4 linked regions of the Diceros bicornis minor genome follow. The main gene of each other region encodes a partner of the protein of the gene in region 2 in a complex. Links are inferred from orthologs where the notes say so. Each region holds a gene or a part of one and is shown on either strand. Other genes may lie near its edges. The genes, in order: ITGAV, TGFB1, NRROS and LRRC32.

The links.
Region 1: the proteins of TGFB1 (region 2) and ITGAV are in contact, whole or in part, in a crystal structure (PDB 5FFO), measured with the Homo sapiens proteins. The link is inferred for Diceros bicornis minor from reciprocal best matches to the Homo sapiens genes TGFB1 and ITGAV. Residues at the interface, in NP_000651.3 of Homo sapiens: Gly242, Arg243, Arg244, Gly245; in NP_002201.2 of Homo sapiens: Asp178, Asp180, Phe207, Tyr208, Gln210, Ala245, Asp248.
Region 3: the proteins of TGFB1 (region 2) and NRROS are in contact, whole or in part, in a cryo-EM structure (PDB 7Y1R), measured with the Homo sapiens proteins. The link is inferred for Diceros bicornis minor from reciprocal best matches to the Homo sapiens genes TGFB1 and NRROS. Residues at the interface, in NP_000651.3 of Homo sapiens: Leu30, Ser31, Thr32, Cys33, Thr35; in NP_940967.1 of Homo sapiens: Phe194, Glu195, Ile196, Glu197, Gly198, Gly199, Phe201, Leu210, Leu212, Pro218, Cys219, Ile220, Val221, Asp222, Phe223, Gly224, Leu225.
Region 4: the proteins of TGFB1 (region 2) and LRRC32 are in contact, whole or in part, in a cryo-EM structure (PDB 8VSC), measured with the Homo sapiens proteins. The link is inferred for Diceros bicornis minor from reciprocal best matches to the Homo sapiens genes TGFB1 and LRRC32. Residues at the interface, in NP_000651.3 of Homo sapiens: Leu30, Ser31, Thr32, Cys33, Lys34, Pro325, Pro327, Tyr328, Ile329, Trp330, Ser331, Leu332, Thr334, Gln335, Tyr336, Val339, Leu342, His346, Ala353, Pro354; in NP_001122394.1 of Homo sapiens: Ser135, Tyr137, Glu158, Ser160, Thr162, Val184, Met186, Asp187, Ile188, Glu189, Asp190, Phe193, Leu202, Leu204, Arg206, Asn207, Ser208, Leu209, Thr210, Cys211, Ile212, Ser213, Asp214, Phe215, Ser216, Leu217, Leu223, Leu225, Cys227, Ser229.

The regions. Positions count from the first base shown.
Region 1 is NC_080749.1:65,928,352-65,936,650, reverse strand, and holds the start of ITGAV (integrin alpha-V), read right to left. Parts: upstream 3,432-8,299; 5' UTR 3,129-3,431; coding exon 2,947-3,128; intron 1-2,946.
Region 2 is NC_080773.1:15,350,793-15,358,129, forward strand, and holds the start of TGFB1 (transforming growth factor beta-1 proprotein), read right to left. Parts: upstream 3,356-7,337; 5' UTR 3,343-3,355; coding exon 2,988-3,342; intron 1-2,987. Other genes in the region: B9D2 (B9 domain-containing protein 2), read right to left, coding at 5,146-5,459. UniProt on the Homo sapiens protein: Transforming growth factor beta-1 proprotein: Precursor of the Latency-associated peptide (LAP) and Transforming growth factor beta-1 (TGF-beta-1) chains, which constitute the regulatory and active subunit of TGF-beta-1, respectively.
Region 3 is NC_080754.1:27,579,161-27,586,966, forward strand, and holds the start of NRROS (transforming growth factor beta activator LRRC33), read left to right. Parts: upstream 1-4,750; 5' UTR 4,751-5,342; intron 5,343-7,806. UniProt on the Homo sapiens protein: Key regulator of transforming growth factor beta-1 (TGFB1) specifically required for microglia function in the nervous system.
Region 4 is NC_080746.1:54,671,342-54,679,099, reverse strand, and holds the start of LRRC32 (transforming growth factor beta activator LRRC32), read right to left. Parts: upstream 3,209-7,758; 5' UTR 3,121-3,208; intron 1-3,120.

The sequences.
Region 1 (8,299 bases), on a different chromosome or scaffold from region 2:
GAATTTCATACCCTCTGTCTTGTGAGCCCACCTCGCCCCCTACCCCCCCACCAACCTACTCAAACAACTAAAGACTACCCACTCCTCTGGCCTCAGTTTCCTCATCCGTAAAAATGTGTTTCTCTGCTTCACTAGCTCCCCTGGTGGTTTGTGCTGTCGAGTGAAATGAGACATCCTGAGTAAAAGTGCTTTGTAAATTATAAAATAGGTTAATTAATCTAAGATATCATTATTACAATTAAACCTAGGGTGCAATTTTTAATTTGTCCAATTATTCTCCACCAAAAAACATGACTTGACTTCTTGGCCTGTATACAATCTTTAAATTTTATGTAATTTAAATTTTTTGGCAATATAGTCACCATAAATTAACACATACAGGAAAAAATAGATAGAATGCTAATTTTTTATTTTTCGTGATTTTTAAATCACTATTTTTGTGACTTTTCACTTCAAACCTAAAACTCATTTCTGGAGAGATTTTCTTGAGTATTTTATCTTTCCTTCTCTTAATAAACACTGATTCATTAGTTTTCACAACAATATGGGAATAATTCAATAACAATTTTCTATAATAAAAAAAATGAGACATAAAACAATTCCATAGCTTGCCGGAGGTATCTAGACACCTACAGAAACCAGAACAGCCAGAGACCTTGTTAACTTTGCTTCCTCATTAATCCAGGCACTCTTCCTTCAGAAGAAAGGAATCTTTAATTAGCAAACACTTTTACATAATGTGAATTTTTTTCCTTTAGAAGTTTATGATCACACCAAATAACAACAACAATAAACACAACTGGTAATATTGCAAATGGCACCCCCATGTACCTTGCATTTCACTGCTTGTTAAATTTAAAAGTACCTTTTTACAAAATTAAGAATAATTTTGCATTAATCTTTGTTAAATCTGAAAAATTCAGCAAGCAGAAACCCTTGTTTATAAATATTTTGTTTTAAAAAAATCTCAAAGTTGATTTCTATTTTTTAAGTTAGGCTAGACCTAGAGGTCACTAGTCTACCAACAACAAAGTCACTGATGAAGATTTCAAAATATTATATGAAACCAAGCCAAGTTCAATTTTACCTTAGCACTGAAGGCGCCTCATGGGAGGTCATGTAAACCTGTGAGGTCATAGTATATTCAACAACTACAGTGACTACTCAAGAAGGATGAGCCATCCAGCCTTGTAACCAAAAACAGTAAATATCTCATGCCAACAGTTCAATATCACTGCATTTTCCATGGTAAAAACACTTAAAAGTTTATCATCTGGTTCTATATCTTTACACTGCTGAACTCAGAGGGTCGCCACAGAACCAAAAGCAACATTTGCAAAACACTCCATCAACTTTGAAGTATCTAAGTGCTAACTCTCGCTACTTTAAGTACTAACTCTTCACAAAAGACAACATATATTTTCAAAATTATTAGATTTTCTGTACAAATTAAGTCTAAGAGGGCACCCTTGGGAGCAACTAACATCGTCTGTACCATAAAGGTGTACACTTAAAAATATCTGGAAACAAAAATTTCTTAAATAACAGATAAGGCTGACAAATGATTAAATCAAATGAGAAGGTAGTAAATGTTGCTCAAGTTAATGATTATTTTTATTGTTTTGGAAAATCTGTACTCAGGTCTCACAGAAAGCACTGAACCTGGAAACAACAAAAGTGAGTTCACTACACAAAACTGTCTAGTTTCCACTCCCAACTGCTTCCAACCTACTTACTGCTGCACAGGTTGTCGCCAAGACGAATGATATTCAGCAACATTCAGAAAGAAGATAGGAATAAACCCTGCTGAATGTTCTAACAGTCATGGAAAAATATTTAGATCATCCTCAAATTAGGCATGGATGAACTGGAAAAATGGTCCTATCTAAATACCGACCATCAAAATTATCCTGTCTCCCCCCAAAAAGCAAAACCTCAAAATATAGAGAAAATTTAGAAACAAAAATATGTTGTTACAATTTCTAAGAGCTCAGAAAGAACACTAAGAACAGTTCTCCTTCTTGAAAACAAGATTTAAACATCAGAAGACAGCCAGTGAACACATTAAATCAGTATTTCTAACGCTAACTTGGGGGTGGGGTGGTGCGAATGATGTCAGCGTTCAGTAAAGTCAGAGACAATTTTTAATCCAATAATGACAATAACTCTGTTACAAACCCTAACGGTCTTTGCAACTCGAAACGTTGGCAATTTGAAAACATAACTGAATTCTTAAACACTGCAGTATTCAAATGACCTGTAGTGAATGAAAACTCAGCAAACACCCCTGTTCTTTCTGAACAATGACCTAAATAATGAATCACTATAAAAAGAACAGATGACACATTCAATTCATCTGTTCACCCTCAAATGTTCAGAGGTCTGGCAGTCCCAGAGATAAGACACAATGAATCTAGTACGACAGTATGGGCATTTTAGTCATCAGAACGTCTGGAAAAGGAGTAAAAGAGGAGAAACAATCACACAGAGAGGCGGAAAGAGTGGGGGAGGGCTTGTTTAGGGAGAGCGAAAAGGTCGGGTGTCTAAGTCTGTGAAGCAGAAAGACGACCGGGAAGGCTCACTGGTGCGGGAGAAAAAGAAGTTCGGAGATGAAATTGACCAAGTCCCGGACACTGGCAGAGGCGGCGCGGAGTCCCGCCCGACCAGCCTTTGTTGATTTCCCACTTGCCCCCAATTTTAAGCACAGGTCTGTTTCAAAGCTCTCCCTCGGAAGAGAGGAGGCGGGGGAACTGGGTGGTGGGTGCCGCGGGGGTTCATCTCCCCCAAATCTCATCCGCCCAGAATCTAAACCACCCTGTGGGGGGTGAGGGGGACGGACAGACAGACGCCCGGATCTCTCCCAGAGATCTTTCCCAGTGGGGAAACGCAGGGTGGGTGCGCGTGGGGGGAAGGGGGCCGAGTCCCCTCCCAAGTGCGGCCACTTACGAAGACGCGCTGGGCACGAAGAAATCCACCGCGAAGCCGAAGTAACTGCCCTCGGGGCCGGAGTACTCGGCAGGACTGTCCACGTCTAGGTTGAAGGCGCCGCAAAGAGGCAGCAGGAATCCGAGGAGAGGGAGCAGGAGGCGTTGGGGGCGAAAGCGCAGCCGCCGCGGCAGCGAGGCCATCGCCGAAGTGCGCGCGGGGCGCGGAGCCCGGAGCCGCGGCCACCCACCCCGGAGCGCACGGAGCCCTCGGCCCGCCGCCGGAGCGCGCCGAGACTTGCCGGCCGCTCGCTCCCGGCGGGTCCGGGACAGCGCCGGAGGCAGGAGGGCTGAGCCTCGGAGAGGCGCCTGGGGAGTGGGGCGCAGGGCGCGCGGGGCGGGGACAGCAGCGCGGGCGGCCCCTCGCCTCCCTCCCGCTCGGCCGCTCAGCGCAGCGTCTCGGGCTTGGGATTGCCGGGGTGAGCGCCGCACCCCCGACCCGAGAGCTGCCCCGGGCAGGGGGAGGAGGCAGAGCAGGGGGAGGAGCCGGCCCGGGAGGCTGGACCGCCGCGCAGGAGGAAGTGGAGGAGCAGAGGCGTCCTCCGACTGGGAGAGGCGAGCGCACTTCCGTGCGCGCTGTTACCTCCCGTCCCGAGAGCCGGGCGCCTGGGCCGAGGCCCCAGACCGTCAGAGCCCCGGGCGGCGGCCTCGCCCCCAGCCCCCGGAGGATGGGCGGAGGGTGGGAGCATGGTCGAGCGTCCCAACCCGCCCTCGGCCACCCGAGCGCCAAGGACACCCCACGTTCCCCGGTCCTGCTCGGCACTCCCGTGCGACATTTGTTTGAAAATGAGGAAAGCTTTATTCGCTTCTCGCGTTTATGCTGCTTAAAAGCCTGGCAGGGTCTCACGAACGAAACTCTATAATTAATGGTCGTTTTCCTCCCCACTCTATCCCACACGCAAACGCTGAACTTAATTATAAACTTCCAGAATGCTAGCATACCCTCTCCCAGGCGAGTTGTGTTCAAGAAGATCTTCAGGTCTACGAAAGAATTAGCAAGGCAAAGAATCAGCTGTAATCGTTCCCAATCAAGACAGACTAGTCGAAACCTTGTTCTTGATTTACCAGCTGAAGTTGTATGATTTCGGATAACTCGACTTAGGACATTTGGGTAGAGACATAATTTTGGAGTTGGAAGAAGGAATATGCACCATGGAAATAAGGCTCCTTGCTGTTGGAGGCTGCACCACGCCCAGGCCCCTGACGGCACACTGAGAGACTTCCTTGAGGGCAGGAACCTTGACCTTTTTCTTTATATTCCCAAATCCTAGCACCTTGCCAGGCAGATAACAAGCAATCAATGAAATGTTGAGTGAATGAATGGAGATGAAATGATGAGTAAGCTTTGCCCAGAGAAGTGACTTTCCCATATTGCGTATCACAGGCTAAAGAATTTGGTGAACAAGACTGAAAGTATAAATGCATTGTGTGGACCTTAAAAACTTACAAGTACTAGAAGAGTAATTTCAAATTGTTTTCCGGAAGTAGCTGTTAAAACTCAATCACTATGCATATTAACCTAAAGCTCTTAATTAATCCTGTGAAGGGATATGTATATAAATTGAAATGAAACATCTAATTTGAATTTATAGTACTTAATTGCGTTATATATTTTGATTTTTAAATTTGGCTAAAAGATATGCAGCAAAACCTTGGGCGTGTTTTACAAGCCATGGTCCAGCACTTGCCTAAAGGAAATTACTGTGTGAGACAGGCAAGCCTACACAAATACCTACATATAAATACAAACATTCCTTTCTCCTCACAGTCGTCCCTGGTACACCCAAGAGGCCGGTATGTACCCATAAACCCAAAGGGTCTTTTACGCCTTAAAAGCCTGAGAACCACTCCCTTTGGAAATCCATCCAGCTAGGGAGGGCAAAAGAGTGTGGGGGTTTAAACTCTGGCTGGGTCCAGTAAGCCTTTCCATTCCCCAGCTTCTGACCCAGGACAGAGGATCAACAGACCAGAGCAGGGGAGGAAAGAAAGAAGAGAAGTCCAAGGAAAGGAAGAAGCCAAAGCAATGGCAACACCCGTGTGTCCACCAAAACCTGAGTGAACTCAGGACCACATTTCTGTTAGGAGACAGTGAACCAGACTAACCCAGTGCCTTAAGGCACCCTGGGTTACACATGACTACCCTTTGTAATAGTGTAGTCATGCTTGAGCAGTCATGTGCCTAGAGCCTTGCAAACTGAGGGAGTTTATTACAGTACAAATCAATTCAGCCAGTGCTTATCCAGAATCCACAATGTGCTGGGTACTCTGTGCACGGGAAAGGGAAAAGCATATTTCATTCTACGGAAGAAAAGCTATGCCCCTCTCCCAGTCCTATGGCTCAACTGTTTAAACTATATTCGAACAATTTTCCAACTTAAAAGAGCTGCATAATATACCTACATTAAGTATAATCACTGTCCTACAGAGAAAATAAAATATTAGATAGTAGAAAGAATTCTGACATTGAATTTTACCCTCTACCCCTCTGTCCTTTAGCAAAAATCTTGATTCCATTGGTTTCTGTAAATTCAAATGCTGGAGTTCAATTCCTCGCTTCGCCAAGTGCTAGTTAGTTGTGTGACTCTGGGCAAATCACTCCAACCATTCTGTGCCTCAGTTTTCTTATCTATAAAATGGAAATGATGATAACACTTACCCTGTAGAATTGAACAGTGCTTGTTGCTGTTAATACTTCTACTATCCATTTAGTACAGCAGTCACAGGAAATTTGTAGGACTATTATTATACTCTCTTAGTTCTCCCGGTACCTATCCAACGGTGCCTTCCATAACCATCATCAAAACAGAGGTCCGCTTGGCTTTGTCTTTGCACAAAAAGAATCTCAGTCCAGTTACCCCAGAATAATTTAAGGGGAATTTCAGATTTTTTTCTCTCAAAGAACATCAAGGGGGATTCAGTTCATAATCCACGGAAACCCTTCTGAAATCCCCTTCTTCTACTCTCCATTTCGTCAGAGCCTTTAATCCCCTAAATCCAACCCTACGGTGTTTCTTGCTGTTGCTTTTTTGTCTGACTCCCTCCTGCCTCTCCTCTCTCAGCTACTTATTAAGGAGATGGCCTCTCGGACTTCGTCCCCACTCCCACCCCCAGTGCTGCCTTTTCCTATCTGGTCTGTATTACAAAAGATCTCAGCCAGCGCTGGTTGCTCATTGGGTGGGTAGAAGAGAAGAGAAGGGAGGCGGGAGACTTGCCTCCTTTCTGGGCTTTGCTTCCTAAGCTACCCCTTCAGTGTTAGGCTTGTCCAGGTCTCCGGCCTTGATTCACTGCATTCCTTGCTCTACATGTCCCCAGCGTGGTCTTATTCATCGTCATGCTCTCACCACTCCCCACCTCACAGAGTAGCTGTAGGCATATTAAATTAATTACTTACTCTTTCCCCAGAACGCCATCTTTGGTCACAGGGCTCTATCTTCCTAGAAAACATTAGCGCTGCCCCTTAACCACTTCCCCCAGCCTTCATCCTTCTGCCACATGCAAACCTACACAATGTCCTCTATCTGGCTGTTTCCTACTCTTCTTTCAAGATGTGTGTCAGGCATCATCATGTCCTTCAGGAAGCCTTCTATCAGGAACCATGCCTTATTGTCTTTGTATCGTCTGAGCTCAACACTGAGCTTCATGATGGAATTAGTTTTACTGTCCAGAGACTTAATAATAACTAACATTTTTATTAAGCTTACTTATTATGTGCTGGGCACTGTCCTAAGCATTTTGGTATATATTAAGTCATTTATTAGTCATAAAACCCTATCAGGTAGGCTCTATTAGTAGCCCCATTTTAAAGATAAAGAAACTGATTCTCTACAAGATTGAATAATTTTCCTAAGGTCACAAAGGTAGCATGGCAGAGGCAGATTTTGAACTTGTGATGGTCCAACTCCAAGCTCACGATCATTAGTACGAGGTTGCCTTTTACAGTACAAAAATACAAGAATAAACAAAGATAAAAGGGATGTAATATATTCAAAGTGATTGGAAAATTTACTTAACAGATTATCTTTACCCTTAATTAATCTGAATTTTTTACAGCATGTTTGCCAATAAAATATTTTAATCAAACTTTATTATTGATCGTATTTATCAAATTAGTTCCACTAGTTTGGCAAGGCTTGTCAAAGAAGAAGTTATGAAAGGGTAATTAAACAAAGCTTTCAGTAAAGACTAAAAATGGTCCTTATCTATTAAAGTTTTACTATGAAGAAAATAGTTGTAAGTGAATATTTTGTGGGGTTAATATGAAAGAGCAGAGACAATTTTGTATGTCTAGTCCCTCTGCTAATCTCTTCTCATCTCCTGACCTCCATATCCTTGTGGGTAAGAAAGGGAGCTGGTGATGATCTCCAAGGTCTTCTCCATCGCTGAGAGCCTGGGGCCTCGGTGACCTTCGCAGAGTAACTAGGGTGGTTGTTGACAGCCCCCCCCCCCAAAACAAAGTCATCTGGTCCCATTCAAATATCCTTCCCTCACATTAGGCAGAATAACATAAACTGGCTCACATCCATGAATATTGGGAATGAGAAAGGGAAATGTTTCAGGGCTGGCGTGGTGGTGTGGTGGTTAAGTTTGCATGCTCTGCTTCAGAGGCCTGGGTTCAGAGGTTCGGTTCCCAGGTGCAGACTTACACCACTCGTCAGCAGCCATGCTGTGGTGGCAACCCACACACAAAATAGAGGAAGACTGGCACAGATGTTAGCTCAGGGCCGATTTTCCTCACCAAACAAAAAAAGAAAAAGGGAATTGTTTCTCATCCTCAGCAATATATTTTCATAACAGTAGGAAGTCAATCATTTGTTGCCTTTAGATCAGACACTCCTTCCATATACTGGGAAAACTTAGTTACAAATTTAAGAAGTTTCAGATAAACGTTGGGGAAAATGTGGAAATATCTTAGTTCCTTTGTTTAAAGAACAAAATATAGATAACTAATCTTTTGAAGTTTCAAAAACAAAAATGCAACTCTTTTCTCCTGTCTTGTTTTTGTTTTTGTTTTTAAATGGGTTTAACTTAAATGGACTATTGCTTAATAGAAATATTTGCTATGCAGGAAGCTTCTTTTGATTTTTCCCCTCAGGACTGAGTATGTTGACAAGCCAAATAAAATAAGTACTGTCTTTTATCTCTAGCTTGATTAATAGATAACGTTTCACTATCTGAACATCTCCTTTTTCTCCAACATGCTTTCAGTTTACTCATTTCGCTTAAAAAATCTTGTTTTAAATTTTTCATCTTTTTTTTTTTTTTACTGAGGAAGATTCACCCAGAACTAACATCCATGCCAGTCTTCCTCTATGTTT
Region 2 (7,337 bases):
TTAGCTGTGTGATCTTGGGCAAGTGGCTTCCTCTCTCCAGGTTTGTTTCCTCCTCTGTAAAATGGGGTCCTACCCACTCTTCTCTCCCATCATCTGTAAAGTGCCCACTCAGTACAAAGCTGGCACCCAGGGGGCTGCTCTGCTTGCTCAGGCCTCCCCAGTGCTTACAGCCTCAAATGCAAGTTATAACGCAGCGTAGGCATCAAGGGCATTTGGATCAGACCCTGCCTCTGCTGCCTGCCAGCTCTGTGACCTTGGGCAAGTCACATTCCCTCTCGGAGCCTCGGTTTCCTGCTACTCTTTGGGAAACAGCAACTTGACATCAAGTTCCCCGCCTTCCAACCCAGGCTCTCCTAACCGAAGCGCTGTGTTGTAACTTTGGGCCAATGAATTCCTCTCTCTGTGCCAGATTCTCACCTATGAAACAAGGACCGAATGCAGGATTATAGTGTGAAATAAGTGAGCTGGGGCAGATAAAAGCGTATAGCACAGAGTCCGCGTACAGCGCTCACTCTAATGTGTGTGTTAAAGAGCGTTTACTACATGCCAGGCACTATTCAAAGCCCTTTACAAGGGTTAAGACATTTAAACCTCATAACAACCCCGGGAGGAAGACACTATTATTATATGCATTTTATAGATGGGAAACTGAGGCACAAAGAGATTAAGTCATTTGCCCCAAGGCCACATGGCTAAGAAGCTGCAGAATGGGGATTCAAACTCAGGCAGTCTGTCCAGAGACTGTGCTCTTAACCCCTGGACTATGCTGCCTCCTTGCTAATGTGATGTTATTATTGCTCTTATTTTATTATTATTATTAATTGCTTCCTCCATTAGCTGGTTAGAAAGCAAAGTTCATTCTAGGTAGCAATGGCTTCTGGGGGGGAGAAAATTAGGAAGAGTGTGTTCTAGCCTAGGAAAAGTTCGGGGTTGGTCATGAACTCCTGCATGAACTGGGTCACCTGCTTTAGGCCTCAGCAGTGGGGGTGCCGAAATGGTGGAGACAGGATCTGATGAGAAAGAATGGAGGAAACCCCTTCTGTGGGCCCCATTCTCCTCCTCCCCCCCACTCTAGCCAGGCCAGCCCCCACCCCTCACAAATAAGCCCTATCTTGGCCCAGGGGTTACTCAGCAACCCCCAAAGGAAGGATAGAGCCCAGCCGGGGAGACAGATAGGCAGGAAAAGAGAAAGGAGGAGCAGAAATGGTCAGAGGGAGAGATGGAGAGACCACAGAGACAGGGAGAGGAGAGGAATTGGGTATGGAGGAGAAAAAGAGAGAGAGAGAGAGGGAAGAGATGGAGAGACACAGACTGGGAGACCCATACAGGGACAGACAGAGTAATGGGGATGCAAAGAGATGAGAGACAGACACACACGGGAAGAGAGACACAGGGTTTGCGGGCGAGATGGAGACAGTCCGGGAGGACAGAAGGCGATCGAAGGTACTATCAGTGTTAGAGAAATCCCTACAACGAAGGTGAAGCGACGACGGAAAAGAAGGTGAGACCGAGATGTGTGTGGGGAGCAGCGTCATTTGGCTGGAGCCGCAAACTAAGCGCACGAATGGGTCAGGGACCCACAAGTCCACCGCCCAAGAGAGAAAATGAAAGCAGGGGGACCGCCCCCCAACCTCCCGCCCACCGGGACGCCTGGGTCCCCGCTAGGGCGCCGAAAGGGCGGGCCCAGCGGTAGCTCCGCCCCGAGCCGGGGTGCAGAGGGCGGGAGGCGCCGCCGCCGCGAAGGCGGGGACCCGACCTGCCTCGTCTCGCCCCAGGCTCCGCGCGCGATCCCCGCCCCCCCGGGGCACGGGAAGGAAAGGGAGGGAGGGAGGGCGAGGTGGCCGGACGCTGGGGTTTCCCCAGCCTCCCAGAGAGGAACTGGGAGTTTGGGGTCCAGGTTCTCAGCCTTTGGCTCTGCGGGGTCCTCCTCCCTCCTTCCGGAAGCGCAGGCTCCTCCCCCCGCGCGTGGCACCCACGTGGGGCTTCTTCACCCCTACCAGCTCAGTTTCCTCACCCCGATCTTGTAGAGTCGTACCCACCCACTTCTCCCCCTACGGCTCGACTCCTCACTGAGCTCACTTCTTTCCATACGGCGGCATAGGGGGGGCTCGCTGCTCCCAGCACGGCACCGTCTCTCTCTCCTCCGCCCCCCTCCCGGGTCCACCTTTCCCACGCTTGTCTCCCCTCTCTGTAAACCCCTTCCCACGACCCAGTATTCTAGGTTCCCCGGGGGCTCGCTTCCTCTGCTGGGCTTCCTCTCACGTCCCCATGCGAAATACTGAGGGCACCTCCCCGCGCATCCCCGGCACCCTCCGGGGTCTCCGCTTCTCTCCCACTAGCTTTCCCCTCCCTACGACCTCGCGTCCCTTTCTTCCCCGAATTTACACCCTCCTCACCGTCTCTCTCTCTCTGGGCCCTCCCCCAATCCCGCGTGCTCCTTGCGCCCTCCACAAGCGGGTCCACTCTCCGCTTTCCTGACACCTCCGGGATTCGCTTCACCCAGCTTTTCTGTCCTTCTTGAACCTCCCCGCCTCACGACCCCTGAGCTCTGGGTCAGCTTTCCGCACTGCCTCTCCTTTCCCAAATGCTGGGATCTTCCCGTCTCCCAAACAGGGCTCCCACTCTGCAGCCCCCCACCCCACGACCCCCGCATTCTAGTGCACCCTGGAGGGAGAAGTCTTTTTCTATTCCTCCCCCGAATTGCTTCTCTCTCTCTAGGGGACTTCCCCCACGATCCCGCATGTTCCTGTCGCCCTCTAGAAGCGGTCCACTTGGCTCACTATCTCCTCTTCTTCAAGACCAGATACCTGGTGGGGTAAGGAGCTCAGCCCTATCCTGTTTGGGATCTCCCTCCCACGTTCCTGGCGCCCCCGGGGGTCCTCTTCCTCCAGCCAGTTTTCTCCGCCAGTATTTTCCTCCCCATGACCCCCGCACTCCGGCGCCCCCTGGGGGCTCCCCTCCAGGGTCCCCTGCCCCTCTGAGCTCACCCTTGCTTGTTTCCACCATTAGCACGCGGGTGACCTCCTTGGCGTAGTAGTCCGCCTCGGGCTCGGGCTCCGTCTCGGCGCTCTCCCCGGCCACCCGGTCGCGGGTACTGTTGTAAAGGGCCAGCACGGCCTCGGGCAGCGGGCCGGGCGGAACCTCCCCCTGGCTCGGGGGGGTGGCGAGCCGAAGCTTGGACAGGATCTGGCCGCGGATTGCCTCGATGCGCTTCCGCTTCACCAGCTCCATGTCGATGGTCTTGCAGGTGGACAGTCCGGCGGCTGGCCGGCCAGGCGTCAGCACTAGTAGCCACAGCAGCGGCAGCAGCAGCGGCAGCAGCCGCAGCCCGGAGGGCGGCATGGGGGAGGCGGCGCCCCCCGGCACTGCCGAGAGCGCGAGCCGGGCTGGGGTGGGAAGAGGGAGGCCCCACCCCTACAGGGGCTGGGGGGGCTCCCGAGGAAAGGTAGGAGGGTCTGGGGGGAAAAGTTGAGGCCCGCAGGGAGAACGGAGCGGCGGTGGAGGGGAGGCTCTGATGGGTGGTTTCTCGGTATCCCACCGAAGAAACCCAGATGGGCGAGATCTGGTACCAGAGGTGGGTGGTCCTGAATAGGGGAGCTGTGGCAGATCTGAGCGAGATCCCGTCTCCCGGATCCCGGAGAAGGGTCCTTGGGCGCGCAGGGGCTCAGGAGAGAGGCTGGGGAGAGGGCGTGCAGGGGGGTGCGCCCGAGGTCTGGGTCAGGTCTTCTTGGGAGTCGGGTTTGCGGCTCCTGAGGGCTGGTCCGGAATGAGGGCGCCTGGGGGACGCCGTGTAGGGGCCAGAGAGGGAGCAAGAGTCCGAGGCGGTGGGGGGGCGGTCTGGGGTCCCCAAGTCCTGCCTCCTCGCAGGGCAGCGCCGCGCCAAGCGGTCCCCGCGCCTCCAGCTCCCAGCGGCAGCGGAAAAGTCTCAAAACTTTTTTTCCTCTTCTCCCAACCAGCTCGTCCCTCCTCCCGCTCCTCCTCCCCCTCCTCCTCGCAGTGGCGGCGGCGGCGGCGGGGGCGGCGGCGGCTGGTCTCAGACTCTGGGGCCTCGGGCTGCTCCTCGGCGGCTCCTTCCTCCGCTCCGGGCCGAGGCCGGCCCCGTGGGCCGCTCCGAGCCGGGGGGTGCCCCGGAGGGGGCGTCCCCCCTGGCCCCGGCCGGGGGCCTCGCTGTCTGGCTGAGCCGCGGCGGGCGGAGACGGTGGGACGACCGGGGCGCGAAGGGCGGCGGCGGCGGCGGCGGGGACCGGCTGGGGCGGCGGGGGGTTTTGAAGCCGCCCCGGCCCCACCCAGGAAGCGCGCGGGGCGGGGGCGGCCCCCAGGGGGAGGGTATGGGGGGGCCGGGCCACCGTCCTCATCTCGCGTGGGCGGGCTCCGAGGGGGGTCCCTTAAGCCCTGGGGGGAGGGGGCGGGCACCCCGGCTCCGCCCCACAAACAGGGTGCTGCCTCCTGGCGGCCGAGCGCTACCAAAGCGCTCCCAACGACCGGGATGCGTGTAGCTTTGAGGACTGTGCGGGTCAGCGAGAAAATGAAGACCTGGCCTTAATCAGAGGATGGGGACACAGCGTACAGGGGATCAGAGAAGGGGGACCCCGGGCAGAGAGAGTGGGAGGCTGAGGCAGAGGGGACAGGGTCAGCCAGAAGACGGGGACCCACTGGGGAGAGGGGGACAGAGGAGGGGGACCCCCAAGGAGAGACAGTCATAAGAGGGTAACCCAGAGTGGGGAGGAGTCAGAGGTTGAGGCAGAGGATGGCGGTAGCGGGTCTGTCAGAAGGTGGGGGCCTGAGGATGGCAGGTGTCGGGGAGGATGGGGCACAGGACATCCGACAGATGAAGGAGGTCAGGAAGGCACCCACACTGGTGGGAACTGCTCTCCTTTATTGAGCACTTCCATGTGCCAAGCAGCCCCTTCTCACCCCTCCCTCTGTGACCCCACGTGCTTACTGCCCCGGTTTTACAGATGGGGAAACTGGACCTGAGAGGGCAGCCACTGGGCTGAGGTGGTAGCCAGGACAGAAGCTGCGCCATGCCTTGGCTGGGGTCAGGTGTGACAGTCTCCAGAGCCCACACTTCTGACCACTGTACCATCCTGCCCCTCACTGGGTCCAGGGGTGTGGATGCGGGTTGGCCGTCGGAGGCAGGGTCCCTCAACATTCAACGCCATAGCGGTCGAAGTGGCGCAGCAGTAGGCCCAGCTCAAGGTGCACGGTGCCACCGGCAGCTGTGTGCAGGCGATAGCGGTCGGCCCCACTGTAGATGGCATCCCCATGCAGCAGCTGAGGCCCGCCACCCACGAAGGCCCGTGCCAGCTGCTCCCGCCAGCTGCCCAGGGGCCGCCACGTGGGGCAGTCCAGCTGGTGGGTGCCTGGACTGCTGGGCACGTGGCAAAAGCCGTAGCCTGCAAGCTGGCAGCGGCCAAAGCTGTCCTGGGACCACACCTGGAGATGGAGCCGGGGCCAGCCTGCAGGACAGGAGGGAGAGAGGAAAGGAGGGATGGGTAAAGCCCAGCCTCCTGTTCCTGGAGACCCCAGGCCCAGTCCTTCCCCCCTGGGTTTCTGCCTCAGCCTCCTCTCTGGACTCTCAGCCAAAGGGATCTTTCTGAATCCATGTTCCTCCCCTGCTCAAAACTCTTTCATGGCTCCCCGGTGCCTTCAGTATGAAGTCCAACCTCAACATTCAAGACCCTTTGGATCAGGCCTCTGCTGACTTCCCTCTTTGTGGCCTCCTCATCCATGTGCCCATCTCAGGGCAGCCCAGTCCCCAGTGAGCACCTTGGGCCTTGTCCTGGACACCTCCTTCCTTTGCTCCCCATGGCCACACCCTGTCCCTGTCTCTGGGCTCAAGGCCCTTTTTCTTCCCCCTCCAATCCATCTTCCACTTTTCTCCCCCTTCCACAGGTTTCCCAGTGTCCTTAGAATACAGTTCAGCTCCTCAGCCTGGTAGGCAAAACCCTTGGAGATCCGGCCCCATTCACCCCCTTTTCTGAACCCCTCAGTGCTGGGCCCTCTTCTAGAAGCTGAGGGACACAGCAGTGAGCAGAGCAGACAAAAATTCCTGCCCTTGTGTAGCTGACATCCTAGATAACAAACGTAGTAAAGAAGCAAATTATAGGGTATGTCAGGTGGTGATAACAGCTCTGGAGAAAAATAAAGCCGGGGGGGGGGGGGGGCGGGATGGTGGGGATGCAGTTTTAGAAAGAAGGTGATCAAGAAAAGGTTCATGGAGAAGGTGACATTTGAGCAAATGCTTAAAGGAGAGAAGGGAGCGGGCCATGTAGACATGTAGGGGAGTGCGCTCCCAGCAGAGGGAACAGCCAGGGCAAAAGCCTTGAGGAGGCAGCTGCCTGATGGGGCCAGGGTGCTGGAGCCCACTGAGAGGGGAGCAGGGGGAGGAGGTGACAGAGCCAGATCACGCAGGGCCTTGTGATTCCTGGTAAGCCTCTGGCTTTTACCCTGAGTGAGACGGGGTACCCGGAGGGCCCGGAGCAGAGGAGGAATGTGACCTGACTTAGGTGTTCACCGGGGGACAGACTCTGGAGGGTGGGGTGGAAAAATCACTGAAGAGCCTACTGTAATAGCCCAGGTGAGACATGAGGGTAGAAAAAGGTGAGGGTGGGAGGGAGAGGGGAGAAGTGGTGGGATGTTTGGCATTTCAAAGGTAGAGCCAACGGGATCTCCTGATGGACAGAATGGGGGGTTGAGAAAAGAAGAGGCAAGGATGATGCCCATACTGGGCGACTTGGGGTCCCTAAAAGCTGAAAGGACTGTTGCCTACCTCACCTCAAAACTCACAAGGCAGCCAGAAGGATCTTTTAAAAGCGAAATCTGACTTGTCAGTCGCCTGCTCTGGCTCTCTAGTGCCTTCAGGAGACGGCCTCAGCTCTGCGGCCTGGCATTCAAGGCCCTGCGTGGCCTGTCCTCTGTCCCCTGCCACCTCACCCTCTGCAGTCCTCCTGCAGGCGCTCAGTAAATACTATTTATATTGTTGAAATATATGGCATATTTACCTAGGCTATTTCCTGGAATGCACTCCTCTCTAATGACCCAAATTTTCCACCAGAAAAGGTTTTCTGATACCCATCCTCCGCCTGCATGCTCATTTCCCCTCTGAGCAGCTGAGGAGCCCTTCCTGCCAACTGCTACCAGCCCTGCCTCTCTCCCTCTCATAAGCCCCTCCCAGCTTCCTCCTGATTGAAGACTCTCTTCATTTGTCTCTTTCAAAGTCACCTCCCTCTCCCCCTGGTCCCCACGCTCCCCTCTCCCCCACCACCCCTGGCCTCTGCCCTGGTCCCATGCACTCTAGAGCCAGCCTGGGGAGGCCTCCCCTCAGCCTCTCCAGG
Region 3 (7,806 bases), on a different chromosome or scaffold from region 2:
TCTAGCCACTGGGATAGAGCAGTGAATAAACAAAGTTCTAGCAAGTAAATATATAATAAAATATCAGACAGTGACATGAATAAAAAATTTTGTTAAGAAAAAGTAAAGAAAGGGAAAAGAAAGCGATGGGGGGCTGCTATTTAGACAATGTGGTCAGGGAAGGCCTCTTTGAGGAGGTGACATTTGAGCAGAGGCCTAAAGCAAGTTAGGGAGTGCGCTGCGTGGATATGTGGGGGAGGAGGAGAGCATTCCCGGCCTAGGAAAGAGCGAATGGCTAAACTCCTGAGACAGAAGGCTGCGTGGCTTAACTGAGGAGCTGGAGGGGAACTTCGTGCTTTGAGTGGAGTAAGTGAGGAGAAAAGTGGTGGGGAATGAAATTAGAGGGAGCAGAGAGGGGAGTAGATCAGGCAAGGCCTTGAGCCCATGGTAAGGACTCAGATTTATATTCATCAATTATGAAAAAGGACCTCTCAGTGACCACAAATGACTTCTCCCAAGTCATCTGGGAAGTGACTTAGAGCAGGTGACTCTAGAGCAAATGACACTTTAATCTTCATTCATTTTAGAAACTTTTGCTGGACACCAACGAGGTGCTAGATTAGGTATTGCTGGGGATACATACAAATGTGAACAAACCACAGTCCCTGCCTTCCAGGGCTCACTGCCCTGGGGGAAAGACAGAACTGTACCACGTGAATGATGATGGCAGCACTGGGCAGGACCGTGAACAAAGTCCTGTAGAGACACAAAGAGATGCCATCATCTCTCCTACAGGCTCTCCTCCTTGACAGGCGTCATTCCAATTCATCATCTTCCTTATCTCTTCTTTAGTCTTCGACCTCGCGCCCAGGCCCATCTTGTGAGGATCCAGTCAGATGCCACCTCTTCCAGAAAGCTTTCCTGGAAGTCTCCCACCAGTTCCAGGTGACATGAACTCTCCCAGTCCTTCGTTCCCCTTTTTCCATGATTCCTTTCCATTCTGCCCTGAACTGGACCACAGTTTGTTGTGTGTGCCACTTCCCCTCGATGTTCCACAGCCAGCCATGCCCTGGTACTGACAGGATACTTCTGTGAGCATCTTGTTATTTTTGCAGAACACTAAATCTTTGATCATATGTTGATACTGTCAGTGTTTCCAGAAAAGGAAGAGGCAGGGTCCCCACAGAGGTCAGTCACTGGAATTAGTGGCTGAGGGAGGCCGTGGGCTCATTACCCTGGGAGAGGTTGTGAACTACATAAGCCCCCACCTGCCCGGACAACAGGGAGCAAGAGGAGCTGACCTCAGCATTTGAGACCCACCCCCACCGAGGTGGGTAGAGAAGAGGAGTAAACATGCCAGGAAAGACCTTCAGCCAAGCCACCCTCACTTGCCCTCAGCCTCTGCACCGACCCCTCAGCTATTCCAGGACTGGCATCATGAGGGGTTGAGTGGTACCAATGTGGGTGGTGGCCTCTCCTCTTTCCGTTTTTGATTTTTGGTTCTTAAAAACTACATTCCAAATGAGGGAAATGAAACTAATGAAGACTCTCCCCCAGCAGCCAGCTGACGTGGGGCAAGAGAACAATTCCTAGTTAAGGCCCCAAAGGAAATCCCCTCCCTGTCATGTGCTGGTGCCGGGAAAAGCGGGGGAGGCGCTCGTTCACTGTTGGGCCAGGCCCAGCCATGAAGGTGAAGGGCCGGATGAAAGGGCTGCCCTGTCTGTGGCCAGGGGCTAAGAACCCAAGGCAGAATGGAAAACATCACAGTGAGGGTGGGAGGACCAAGATCTTGGACCTGGGGTGAGCCAGTTCCAGAAGCAGACCCCACCACTGCATTGCTGGTACAATGGGTTGTCCTCTTCTCTCACAGACCCATCTGGAGGAGGGAAGCTGACCTTCACTTCTCCCACTGGATCCTTTGCATACTTTGCCCCCAACTCGGATGTGTCTCCCTTCATAGTCTCTCCTGTAGGTATCCCCACCTCCCCAGTCCTGAATAGTGTCTGGTTATCATCTGGAAAAGCAGTGGGAGGGGAGACAGAAGCCAAAGTTCCTTTGATCTCTTTGGGAGACTGAGAAGTTGTACCTGTGACAAACGATTATAAAGCTTAGTTTAAGAAAGAAAAAAACCCTCAGAAAGCAATACCTAGAGAATCATAGACAAAGTAGCCAGCAATACCTAGTCTAGCACCTCGTCGGTGCCCAGCAAAGGTTTCTAAAATGAATGAAGATTAAAATGTTGTTTGCTCTAGAGTCATCTGCTCTAAGTCACTTCCCAGATGACTTGGGAAAAGTCATTTCTTGGTCATTAAGAAGTCCTTTTCATAATTAACAAATACAAATCTGAGTCCTTACCATGGACTCAAGGCCCTGCCTGATCTGGTCCGCTCTCTGCTCCCACTGATTTCATTCCCTACCACTTTTTTATTGCCTTCCCTTCTTCTTTCCTTCTCTTCCCTCCTTCCTTCTTTGAGCAAATATTTACTGGGCCCCTTTATGTGCATTGGGCAATATACTTTTTGGAATAACACATGACCCCTTCCCTCAAGAATTTTAGAGTGTAGTTGAGGAAACAAAATGGAAATCCTAAAAGTTAAATCACAATACAAAAGATGTCATGAGGCCCATGGATACAGTAGACACTTTGTACCACGTGTTCAGAGGAAGAGGTGGAGAACTCAGTGGGGAGGCTTCACAGAGGAGGGGACCCAACCTACGCCTTCGGGATGAGGAGGGTTGGGGTAGGCACAGGAGAGGCTATTCCAAGTAAGGCAACCTCTGACAGAGCAAGAGTGGGGAGCATTGGTTCTGTGTTTAGGAAAACTGTAAGCAGGTAAGACCGGATAAAACCCACTCGTGGACCACATATTGAAGTGTGGAGGTAACAGTGAAGACAGGCTGGAGGCAAGATCAGGCTGAATGAGGCCTCTGGACTTTCTCCTCCACTGGGAATTGCCCAGCTCCTTGCTTCCACCTCAGATCTCCTTGGAGATCCAGGTGAGCTGCTTCACACTAAATTTAGCGTTGTTATGGTTGAACAGGGGATGGGTATAAACTCCACAATGCATGCAGCAGGCTCAAAGAAAGAGGCATGCGGTCCCCCAGATTCTCGCCATCCCATGGAGCGATGTGCTCAGCCAGGGCAGGGCTGCATGCACCATGGGTTGTGCTCCAGAGGCAGTTCCCCAATCTCTTCTGCCTTGAGCAGCACAGTTGGGAGGGGCCCCAGAGCACCCAACCATGTTGGAGAATCTTGAACTGTGCAGTCAAGGTTACAGTTGGGCTGGCATGAAAAATATTCTGTTTTCAGCTGCAAATCAGCGCTTGTTTCAGCTGGAAATCTTAAGTTCTCCCTGCTGAGCCAGCTTGCTGATAGCCTAGAGGGAGAGCTCTTGGTGCTATTCGCCAACAAACTGGCTTGTCTCCACACATCCATTGAGACCATTGATTTTCTGTTTTTTTGAGGGGTTGCAGCTGTCTTTCTCAAAAGAAATTCTATAAAAAATATAAAACATGTGAAAGTGGAATGGCTTGGGATAGGAGGAGATGGAGTGCCTGGAGCATACTCAGGTCTTGGCATCTCTGAGGTGCCCCTGAACCTGCTGGACCTGGTGTTAAACTGCTGATCCAGGTAAGAGAAGCGATGGCAAGCCACGAAAGGGCTTTAAGCAAGGAGTGAGATGATCCAATATACATTTTAGAAAGATGCCCGTGGCCACTGAGTGGAATATGCATTGGAAGCACGGAGCCCAGTTTAAGGAGGCTTCTGAAATGGTCCAGACATGAGTTGATAAAGGATAAAGAGTAGGTTTGGATTCAAGAAACATTTCCGAGTTAAAATCAGCAGCAATGAATGACCAACTGGATGTGATGGGTGGGGTCTGTGAGGGCCAGATGGAGGCATGCCATCAACAGTGACAGCCAAACAGGGAGAGAAACCAGCTAGGACAAAGTATAAGAGTTCAGTTTATGACACATTGTCATAATTGTTGTGGCCACTCTGAGACATATAGGAGCTGATTTACCAGTAGACAGTTAAAAACATAAGTCTGGATCTTTCTTGGGAGAGAATGTTGGAGATAGAGATTAAAATTTGGGAGTTATCAACATATTGGTAGACACAAAAGACATGGGAGTAGAAATTGTGCATACCATGAGAAGAAAAAGACCTGAAAGAGAACCTTAGTTTGTGATAATTTGGCTTTTATTCAGTTTTTGCATTAATGTCATCATTATTACAACTACGAATAAATATTTTAGGGAGCAGAGACAATGTGCTGGATGTTTGGAGCAGGATGGACTTGCTCCTGCTCTCTTAGGATGGACACGCCAAGATAACAATGCTATACCAAATCACAAGTCAACAGGCTACAAGAGGAGTGAGCCAACCCTCCAGGACACTTCACCTCTCCAGATCCGATGGCAAGGAGCAGAACTGGAGATCCCTTCTCTGACTCCCCTAACGTGGCTGTCTGCATTACTCATCCGGCATGCCGCCAACACAGTAAATATTTTGCCTTCTCCGCTAGATGTAAGCTCCTTGAGAACAGGAGTATGAGATAATGCACATAAAGCTCAAAGCATGGTGCCTGGCGCCCCTCTGATGGTGACTATCATTAATTTAATTATTCTTTTGAATTCCCGGCAAGAGCTAGCAGGGAATATTGTACACATCTGGTACAAAAAATTCATCCATGCAGCCTATGATCAAGAAGTTCATGGCACTCTGACAGTCCACCCGAAAGCAATTCCATTTCTTTTTCTTTTTTTGATGGGCTGGACATAAAAAGGGAGATTATTAATAAAGACTAGCTGAGTGGATGACTCTCCCAGAAGGTGAATTCTCTCCCAATTGGAAAACGTGTGTGCTCCTCTTTCCCAAAGTCTGCCCCAGCTTGACCCTTGGACACAACCTTGGAGAAGAGTTTCTGGGTCAGCAGAGCTCACAGGCAAGGGCCCGCAGCTCGTCACCCTTCGAAATCTCTAAGACAAGAAAGGCTGGGGAGCCTTCATGAGCATTGCTGGGAGACCATAAACATATCCCACTTCCTTTGAGACTAACCCAGCAGGTGCTGGGGGCGGGGGGCACCGCTTCCAGCCGGTCAGCCCGCCCTCTCCCATCCCCCTCACCACCCACCCGCAGCGCAGTTCCCTCTAAGATGCCTGCTCTCTGTGAGTGCTGAGTCGCTGAGCAGCTCGCTCTCCATGTGACTTCAGTTTCCGTCCGTTCCTTCCGCAAGTGCTAAAATAATCTGATGCTCCAGAGAGAGGAGGCAGCCCAGCCCCGCGTTCGCCTGCTCTCGAGGAGGCCGGAGCCCCGGGAGAGGATGCGCCCCGCGGAGCCGCCTGGGCCTGCGGGAGCCGTGAGTATTTCCTGCGTGGCCGCCTCCCCGCGGGGCAGCCGCGGCCCTCGTGGAGGTGGGCGAGCTCGGAGAGGTGGGACGGTAGGAGGTCAGCGTGTGTGGCCCACAGCTGGGGGGCTGATGGGGAAGTTGTGGGTGCTGCATCCAGGCTCCACTGCTTTCACGCCGTGCCGGGGCTACGGCTCTGGGTGTGGGTGGCAATACCTCTCTCTAGGAGCACTTAGCGCTGAGACAGGTGGCGTGAGGTAGTGGAAACAACGTGGGCTTCAGAGTCGAACCTGAGTTTGATTCCTGGCTCCGTGGGGAGAAGTTCTGAGCCTCAGTTTCTTCATCTGCAGAATGGGAGAATGGGAACAAGAATGCTCCCTCCCTGGGTGCACTGGCTGTAATGAGGTTGCTCTGTGAACGCTCAGCACGCTGAGTGCTTGGGTCTTTTTTGTTGCCCACAACGTGGACTGAGAGTCACCATTTCATAGATGAAGACACTGAGCCCCATGAACAGGGACACGTAGTTATGGATGTCTTCCATGTGCAGGCGTGCTCAAGGGGGTGGGGGTAGAGCTGTGAAGAAGACAGGAAAAGCCCCTTCCCCACAGAGCATTTGTCCTTGGGACAGTCACTAGGGCTCTGTTACTTGGACCCACAGCTAGTAAGTACCAGAGGGCGACCCCAGGCCTTTCTGACCCGTTGTTCAGTGCTTTTCTGTGGCCCTCACGGCCTTTCCATGTGGGCCGGATTCTGGAGGGTTCAGCGTATATCCCCATGCACTCAGGAGCTGACAAAAGCAAGGAGCCACTGACTGGGCTCATGCCGCCCTCAGAATGGGCTGCCAGCTCACCTGGCCCCTGAGAGAAGGTGAACACGTGCCCAGCGGCGGCCGTGACTCCGGGAGGCCGAGGCAAGGGCCTAAGAGTGGAGCCCTGGGTAGGGCTTGCCCTGGGAGGTGCGTGGGAGGTGCGCTTCCAGGGGGAGTGAGAGGACTCCACTGGAGGTGTCTTCCGTGATGGGTGCAACTTACTAGGAGTCTGGCCGTTGGAAACATTCAGAGTGTACAGAGCTGGCTCCCTTCACCCACTGGCTGTGCTGCACACTGTTTCTTGGATGTTGGTGATTTGCTGGGTTTTATAGCCCTGAGACTTCTTTATTTTCCTCACACACTTCTGTAGGTTTGTACATCTATGTCTGAGAGTTCCTAGAGGGGATTCTAGAATGATGGGCCTAGAAAAAAGAAAACCTTGACTCTTGCCCTTAGGTTAAACGAAAACAAAAACCTGTTTCACAAAGAGAGTGCTTTCATCTAATGGGTGCCCTCATGGGAACTTCATGAAAACCCACATAAACCTGATCCCACATTGTCCTTAAACCCGTCATTGGAGAGCAGGAGCCTCCCAAACAGAGTGCAGGCTCCCAGTGTCTCTGTCCTGGGGCCTGTGTTAGGAGTGCATGGACCTGTCCGTCTCTGGGCTTCTTGATTTTTTTGGAAGTGTGATGTTGGTAGTGATTATAACATGCGTCCTGGCTGCAGTGTGCATCCACATCATGAAGTGCACAGTAGACTCTTGGATGGACAACTTATTGTGTCTCACATCTTGCTCAGATCCATAGTATCACCACATAAGTTAGGGGAGGGTGGGCTTTCAACCATGACTGAAAAACTTCATCTTTCTCAGGACACGCTTGTATGCTCACTGATGCTCACCGATGTGTCTGCAATTGGTGACAAATATTTTTGCCTTTGGTAGAATTTCTTTATTATACTCATCTCTCCCCTTCCTCCCAAACCATTATTCTCAACTTTATATTCAAACAGATGTCATGTGCTCAGTGTGTGGGGGTTTCTGGGCTAGGTTAGGTGATGATCTCTGAAAGTTCAGAGAGGTGAGGAAAGGGAAAATAGGACATCGATACTTGGGTCTTATTAAGCCTCACAAGCAAGTGTAAACCTAAGTTCAAGGTCCCTTAGTTGCAAATGACAAAAACTCAACTCAGTTTGGCTTCAGCAAAAAAGAAGATTTATTGTTTCAAATAACCAAAAAGTCTATAGGAAATAGCTTCAGGCATGGCTGGATCCAGATGTTCAAATGGATGCCAGGAATCCATCTGTCTCTATTCCTCAGCTTTGCTTTCCTCTGTGTGGGCTTCATTATCAGGCAGGTCCTGAAGTTGGTGGCAAAGATGGCTGCCTGTGGCTCCAGGCTTAATTCCCACCAGCTCAGCATCTGAAGCAAGAAGAAAAAGGCTCTTTCCTAGTAGTTCTAACAACAATCCTTGGATTGATTGTCAAGAGCTTGGTGCCTGTGATGTACCCATTATAAACTAGTTACTGTGGTTAGGGAAATAGGAGGTTCTAATGGGCGCAGCCTTGTTCAGAGGCCCCACATTGGAGCCAGGAGTTGAGGTCCCACCCAAATGAACATGGACTTCTTAGGAAAGGAAGGGGTTTGGTTGCACAACAATGTAAATG
Region 4 (7,758 bases), on a different chromosome or scaffold from region 2:
AAGGTGGCTGCTCTGAGCTCCTGTTTTGCTCAAACAGGCAAGAGCCACAGCGGTGTCTTTGCAACGGTGTCCCCTCAGTGCCAGGGGCCCCTACACCCCACAGCCGCTCTCCTATCACCTGCGTCACAGGTCGGGCTTTCACAGGAAATTTTGTTCTACTGTTTAAAAAGAAGAACATCACGCCCATGTGAAAGCAAGCATACTCAGAATTGAGTGGAAACCCTTCGGGGGGCCTCCAAGGCCCTCAGGGAGCGAGCCCTGCCCACCAGCTCTTCTCTCCAGCTTCATTTCTCACTGTCCCCTCCCCACTCGGGGTTCTGGAAGCCTCCTATTTCCTTCAGTGCTCTGAGCACTGTTTCACTGGCCCACACCTTCACTTCCTCCCCTCTCTTGTGTGGAATACTTCCTCAGCCTTTGGGTCTCAGCTTAGATGTCACCTCCAAGAAGGCCTCTCTGGTTCCCCAAATCTGGGCTGTGTATGGTCCCTCCTCCAGGTTCCCACAGCCCCCGGGGTTCCAGCGAGCACAGCACCGAGCACTCTGTGGTTTGGCCCCACACCTCTAGGGCAGAAGGGGTTCACTCTCCTCTGGGACCCATCTCCACCACCAGGCAGGCCGGGGAGGTGCTGAGAATTGACGCGAGGAGTTGGTGACACAGTGACACTGGTGAGAGCAGCTGTTCTCCCTGACCCTCCCTTCAGCTCCCTGCCATACTCCTTCCCTCAACAGGGGTTCTGTCTGCTGTCCCCGAAAAACAGCCCCAGGATCAGCCTGCCTCCCGCCTGCATCACGGCCACAGACTGAGGCCCCGCCCTGGGCCTCGACCTCGGCAACACTCTGCTTCACCCCTGACCCTCCAGTCTGTCCCTCACAGCAGCCAGAGTGAAGTCTCTAAATCACACATCAGACCATGAATCTGCCTGCTTGGAAACCTCCAATAAAACCCAGGCCTTACCCAATCTCCGCTGACTTCATCTACCGCCCCTCCCTCGCCCGATTGCAGCTTTCCCCACATTCGTCCAACACGTGCGCTCCTGCCTCAGGACCTCCGCCTAAATGCTCTTCCCCACATCCTCACATGTCTGATTGTTTTCCTTGCATCGATCATTTCTTGATAATTTATTTCTCATTCTGTGATAAGAGGGGTCTATTAAGTGGTGCTCACTGAACAAACGGCAAAGCTAGGGGCGGAAGCTGCACTGCAGGGGGCTGTGTGCCACGTGCGAGGTGAGGACATGGAAGGACCGGGACACCTTCTGAACCTGAAGGCACTGCGGCCCAAAGGGGCCCTCGGGCCCCGCTCCTCTGCTTGCTACATCCCACTCTACCCCCAAGGTGGGCATCTGCACATCCAGCAGGGACTGTCCCTGCAGCCCGTGGAACCCTGCCCTGGCATCTGACAGACAGGGCCCCCTCAGCTGTGGGCACCCTGCAGCAGTGCCCCGAGAGTGGGTAGCATTTGAGGGCTGCCCGCTCTCCAGGGAGGCCTGAGGTCACTGAGACCCAGGATCACACGCAGACTCTAACGCTCACCAGCCCTGCTCCCTGGGGCGAGTCCGTTAATCCTTCAGTGCCTCCAGGTTCCCTCTGTAGGGCAAGTAGCCTGGTTCCATTCTGCCACTGGCTGCCCCCAACCATTGTGATGATCAAGCTGAGGATGCCCGGACACGTGTTGTCTTTCCCAGCTGGGACAATGACCCACAAGGCTGAGCAGCCCAGGCCAGACACGCTGAGGAGGGAGGCCCCAGGCCTGCAGATAAGTGGCCGAGGCCAGAGGAGGCAGGAGACATCGCAGGACTGATTGGGAGGAGAAATGCCAAAGAATGGGCATGTGTGTGAGAGTGTGTGTGTGTGTGTGTGTGTGTGCGCGCGTGTGTGAGAGAGAGAGAGAGAGAGAGAGAGAAATGGGGGTGGGGGCAAGGCCTACTATCATAATAAGCCCATCCCTACTATATAAGGATGTCAGACACTCTTCTATTCATTTGACCTATAATCATCTCACTTAATTCTCACAACAACCCAATAAAGCAGTTACTATAATTTCCATTTTACAGATGAGAAAACTGAGGCTCAGAAAGGTGAAGCAACTGACCCAACAGTTACCCAGCTTCTAAGTGCTTGGGGATTTGGGCCAGGTCTGTATAAGCCAAATGCTGTGTTTCCCCAGCAGGTGCTGAGCTGCCCGTCCCCTACAGAATTTTCCTTGTTTCGTGCATGAGTCGAATGAGGCTCAGAGAGGTGACTTACCCAAAGTCACACAGGCAGTAAATAGCAGAGTTGGGATCAGAATCCAGTCTGTGTGCCTCCAACGCATATGTTTCCATTACCCCAGGCCAAGCTCTCCCTCTGTAACCCCCTCCAATCCCCTCCACACCCCCGAACACACACTCACACCCAAGCAGACAGGCTCACAGCGCTGGGCTCCGGGGTGCTCCTCTCCCTCTTCTCAGCCCGGATCACTGGCAGAGTGGGGTCCTGGGAGAGCTGCTGTGGACGTTCCCACCAGCAGTGAATCACAGAGAGCAAGCCCCATTCTGGAGACATGTGCATCCCACGGGGGAATTAGACCTTAACCCAAAGGAATGTGGCTGTGATGGCGGAATTTCAGGCAGCCCAGGGTGGGGGTGGGCTCACATCTCATCACCCTCACATCCCTCACATCTCATCACCCAAGAAGGCTGGCTTGGAGCCCCTCAGAGAGAGGTGGGTGCCCCCGGCAGATGGGCAGGCTCTCTGGTGCGGTGGGTTGGGAAGCCCCACGCGCGGCCCGGGTCCGAGGGCGGTACGAGACCTGGATTCAAATCCTGGTCTGCCCCGAACTAGCCGTGCGTTCCGCAAGCGCCGGCCTTTCGGCCCTGGTATTCCCATCTGTCAAATGGGACCACCGGCCTCGCCCTTCCCGGGAAAGATCCGCTGAGACGCGAGCCTGGGAGACCTCTGGGGCTGAGGGAGGGTCACCCCTGAGCGCAGTGGGGGCGGCGGCGGGAGGGGGCTGCTGGGGGGCGGGGGGACCGGCGTCCCGAGGGACTCGCCGCAGCCCAGCTCCGCGCCCTGTGCTCGCGGGGGAGGGACAGCCGGTGCCCCGAGGGGCCGGGCAGCCTCGCCCCGGGGCGGCTCCTACCTGGCTCAGCGCGGCCGCCGCTCCTCTCCCGGGCACATTTTGCGCAAACCTGCCCACCCCGCGGTGCCGCCGCGCCAGCCCCGGGGTCCCGGCCCGAGGAGGCGCCGGCCGCTCCGCTGCCCCACGGGAGCCGACCCGGGAGGGGGCGGCGCGGGCTCCAATTTAAATACCTCTCCCGCCGACCCGCCCCACCACGCCCCCCTCGGCCCGGCCGCGGGGTCCTAGCGCCGGCCGGCGCGCCCCCGTGTGACTCGGTTGATGCGGAACGCGCGAGCGGGTGAAGCATCTTCTTTTCGCTGGAACCCCGGCTGAGAAGGGGCGGGCCGAAGGGGGCGGAATGAAAGGGCGGGGAGGCAGCGGGGTCGCTAAGGAAGCGCCGTGCGAGCGAGGCCGGCTGGGCGCCGCACGTGCGGGTCATGGCCCCACGGGGTCCGGAGGGGCGGGTGGCTCTAGGAGGCGCAGGTCCGCAGAGGAAATCCGGCCTGGCCACGATTTCCCCGCTGCCGGCGCCGCTGCACTTAGGGGGGGCAAACAGGAGAGGTGACGGCGGGGCTGAACGCGGAAGGAAATGACCCTTCACTGGCCCTGGGGCGGCCACAGAGGGGGTTCCCCACCCTGCAGCCATCCCTTCTGGCGAATCCAGGCAGGTCACTTCCCCTCTGTGGATTGTGCTCTAGTGTCCAGACCCGTCCTCCTCCATCATCTCCCGGACCCTTAAGCAGCCCTGTGAAACGGCACCACCCAAGTCCTCAGTTCTCAGATGCAGAAACAGGCTAGGGATGAGCACAGCAAATGTAAATAAAAACCAATTGTCTGGGACTGGTAAGGTCCTCATTTATATTTGGGGAAACTGAGTCTGGGAAAGTGTGACATATGCAAAGTCACACTGCCTGTAAGAGGCAGGGATTTGAGCTCAATCTGTCCACAGAGCCCTTTTCCAGGCACCATGTTGTTCGGATGGTTTTCAAGTGCTGTGCAAAAGTAGCGTGGTGCTATTATTGTCTTTTACATCAGAAGTTGAGGCAGTCTTCCCCAAAGCCACCCCCTCTTTCCAATGCCTTGACCCTACCACGTCACAGGGACCCTGCCCCGCTGGGTGTGGACCTGAGGATGGGGGTGCTGGGGGAGGAGGGTCACGCTGTCCTCTGGGCCCTGGTTCCAAGGGTGGAAGAGGATTCCTCTACCACAATTTCTCTTCCCTGATGGTCCGCAGCCCTGAGAGTGGCACAGGTGCCCCATTTTGCAGAGAGAAAGGGACCACCCAAAGCTTTGTGGTCAATCAGGGTAAAGCTGTGCTTAGTAGCTGGGTTCCCTGATCCTAGATGGCTGCTTTCTTCCCTCCCTCCCATCTGGCTCACTGTGGGGATGGGCCTGGGCAGATGGGGACAGCCCAGAGAGGACAAGCTGTGATGGGGTTGCTCAGGGCCTAAGCTAGTCTCAGAAGAGCAGATCAGAGAAAGCTTCGCTCAGGAGGGGCCTGGGCTGCACGGAGGGCAGGGGTGGGAAAGGCTGGAGGACCTGGTGTCCGTAGCTACCCCTCCCCCCCGGCCACCGGAGGCCTCAGATCTGTGCACAAAGAGGTCCCAGCCGGTTATCCCAACCCCGTCTCTGGGCTCTAGTGCTCCATCTGGTCAAAAGGAACCTCAGTTTCCCTGTCTGTAAAGTGGGGAAGATAGTCACTACTTCTCGGAGTTGATGCCAGAGCTGAGTGTAACGGACCCAGCCTGGAGCCTGCGCCCAGTGGATGTTAGGTAATTCCTCACTGTTTGTTGCAGCCGCTGCTGCTATTTTTGCTGTGTACCCTGTGGGCTTCCTTTTCCAGATCCTTGTCCAAGGGGCCAAATGTCCAGGAAGTGCTTCGCGGCAGCCCTGCAGGTGGGCAGAGCACGGCTGAGTGGGATTCAGGCAGGTCCCGGGCTCTCCTGTCCCACCTGCTCCCCGACATCCAGGCCCAGGCTGGCTGGGCATGCCCCACCCTTCCCTGAGCGGCCGCCAAGCAGAAACCGCTGGGCTGGTGCGAGCTTGGGCTGGGGCCTGAGCTGGGCAGGGCTGAGGCTATGGGGGGCTGGGCGGGAGTGGCCTGCCTCCCACTCCCCCACAAAAGGCTGCGGTTGTGGTTAGTTAGTTCACGGGGTTCCACCTCACTCAGTGCCCGGATGGGGCTCCCCAAGAGTTGGAGACAGATGGGCAACCAAGCATGCCCACCCGCTGCAGATGCCCCTCGGGACTGGGGGCTGAAAGCCGGGAACCCCACGTGCTCAGTGCCCCTCCTTCGTCTCTTCCCTTCTTCAGCGGTCACATTGCTGTCTTGCTTGTGGCAGGTTGCTTGATCTTTCTGACCTCAGTTTGCTGATCTGCAAAGTGAGACTAGGAAGAGCACCTGCTGTCCCTGCTTGCCGTGCAGATCAAAGGCAACAATGTATGTAAAGTACCTGATCAGGGCCTGGCCCATGGTCCTTGCTCAGTAAACGTGACCTCCCTTCCCTGGCGGCCCCAGATGGCTGGTAAATAAAAGTGTCCAGGACCTACCCTTGTGGAGCTCCCAGACCAGATGAGAGGCAGAAGAGAACACGGGATGATTGGGTCCAGAGGCCTCGAAGGCCGAGTCCGGGGGTCTGAGCTTGGTCTGAAGTCGGGGGAGAGGCTGGACCTGAGCAGGGCTGGGTTGCCTGGCAGCCATGTGGAGGGCGGCTTTCTTTTAAAGGCTACCAAGCCCAACTTTCTGTCCAGTGTTGCTTGGCTCTGCTTGCACATCTTTGGGAATGGGGACTCCTCCTGGACAGCCCACCAATGGGCAGCTCAGTCTTCACGGTGTTGGTACTTTTGTGGAAATGCTTCTCTTTCCTTATGTATCTGTCGGGGAAGATGGGAGACACGTCTTTTCCCGTGTCCCCTGGACTACCCTTCTGAGATGAGAAAAGACCCTCAGGTACCAAGTCAGGCTCAAGGCTCCCTGGCAGGGTTTTGCCTCAGGCCCAAACTCAAGGATCCCAAGTAGGAGTGAGTGGCCCAGGGAGGCAATGATGTGCACATCTTGTGTGACCTTGGACAAGTCACTAAACTTCTCTGAGCCTTGCTGTCCTCATGGCACCCCGGACCCCCAATTTAGTTTCCATCGTTCTTTGCTGAACACCCACCATGGGCCAATCCTTCCTCTCATGTGGCAAATCAGGGTCAGGACAGCCACAGACAGCCTTCCAGGTGTCTTTATGCTCAATTACTGACTAGGAAACTGAGGCTCAGAGAGGTTAAGTAACTGGCCCAAGTCACACAGCCTTGGAGCCAGGAATTGAACCCAGGTATCCGGACCCCCAGGCCAGATCTTGGTGCAAGGATATGACTGTCCTCACTCCCTGCCCCTCCCCAGCACCTCTGTGGGCCCCTGGGAGTCAGGGAGTTTCCTTATCAGCCTGTATTGGGGCCCTGTCTTCTGGGGCAGAACCCTGGCTTCCCCAGTTCTTCTCCTGCCCTCCTTCCCTTGCTCCCTGCAGGGACTGGGCTCAGACCATACCAGCTGTGGGTCACCTCCTGGAGGCCAGTAGGAAAGGAGAGCAAATGTTGCTGGGTGTCAGCTGTAGGGAGTTTGTGAGCCAAAAGGCAACAATGGGTGCTTGGGAAACCAACGCTTATAAAGGGACAGGTGGTGCGTCCCTTGCTCTGAGCACTAGCTGAAGTGTTAAGTGGAATGATGAGGGCTGACAGGACCAGGCCTGGGCCAGGTACTTTACCTGAATTATCTCCTCCTCCTCATCTGACGAGGGAGGCTATTGTTGCACCCCTTTTACAGAAAAGGGACTGAGGCTCAGAGGGATTCTGTGACTTGCCCATGGTCACACAGCGAACAGGGCAGGGCAAAGCAGCCATTCCCATCCGAGTCCTCAGACGACAAGGCCCTTGTGCATGGCCAGCGACTGGCTTGGCTGGTTTTCTGTTCTCAGCGGGGCATGAGTCACCCCCTCACTGTGGCACCTGGAGCAGCCAATGCAGGGAAAGCGGTGCCCATGAGGCCCCGAGCATCCCTCGGCCCCCACACGGGAGGCTCCGGGCTCTGAGTCTGGGGCTGAGGAGTCTGGAGGCTCCCGGAGGCCCCCGGGGAGAGGGGGGACGTTAGGTGAGAAAACTCAAGACTGGGTGAAGCACGCAGGGCAGGCTCAGAAGCGTCTCCACAGCTTGACTGCCACGGACCGTGAAACCACAGCTCTCTGCCGCGCTCGGGCTGCTGGGAACCTGAGGGTTTGTCCCTTTGAGCCACACCACTTTTCTCTGTTTTAACCATTTGAAGGTTAAACCCCTTTTCTTGAGGATCCAGGGTTGTCACCATGGGGTTTGGTTACGGCCCGTGATGTCACAGAGTGTAACCTCCCAGCTAATGACAACGGCAGCAGAGCCAGCCCGGCTGAGACAGCAGCAGACACGTGTGAGCTCCTGACGGCGGCGCTAATTTGAGGCAAGGCTGCCGTGGGATGGCCCTGCCACCGGAGGCTGGGTGACCTTGGGCAAGTCATCCTCCCCTGGTAGTTTCTCATCTGTAAAATGGGGACAGTCATTCTGCCAGCTTCAAGGGGGCGTTGAGATCATGGTTCTGTGGAAGGCTGAGTGGGGTAGGGGCTGAGTCCATGTGACTGTTGATACCTTCTT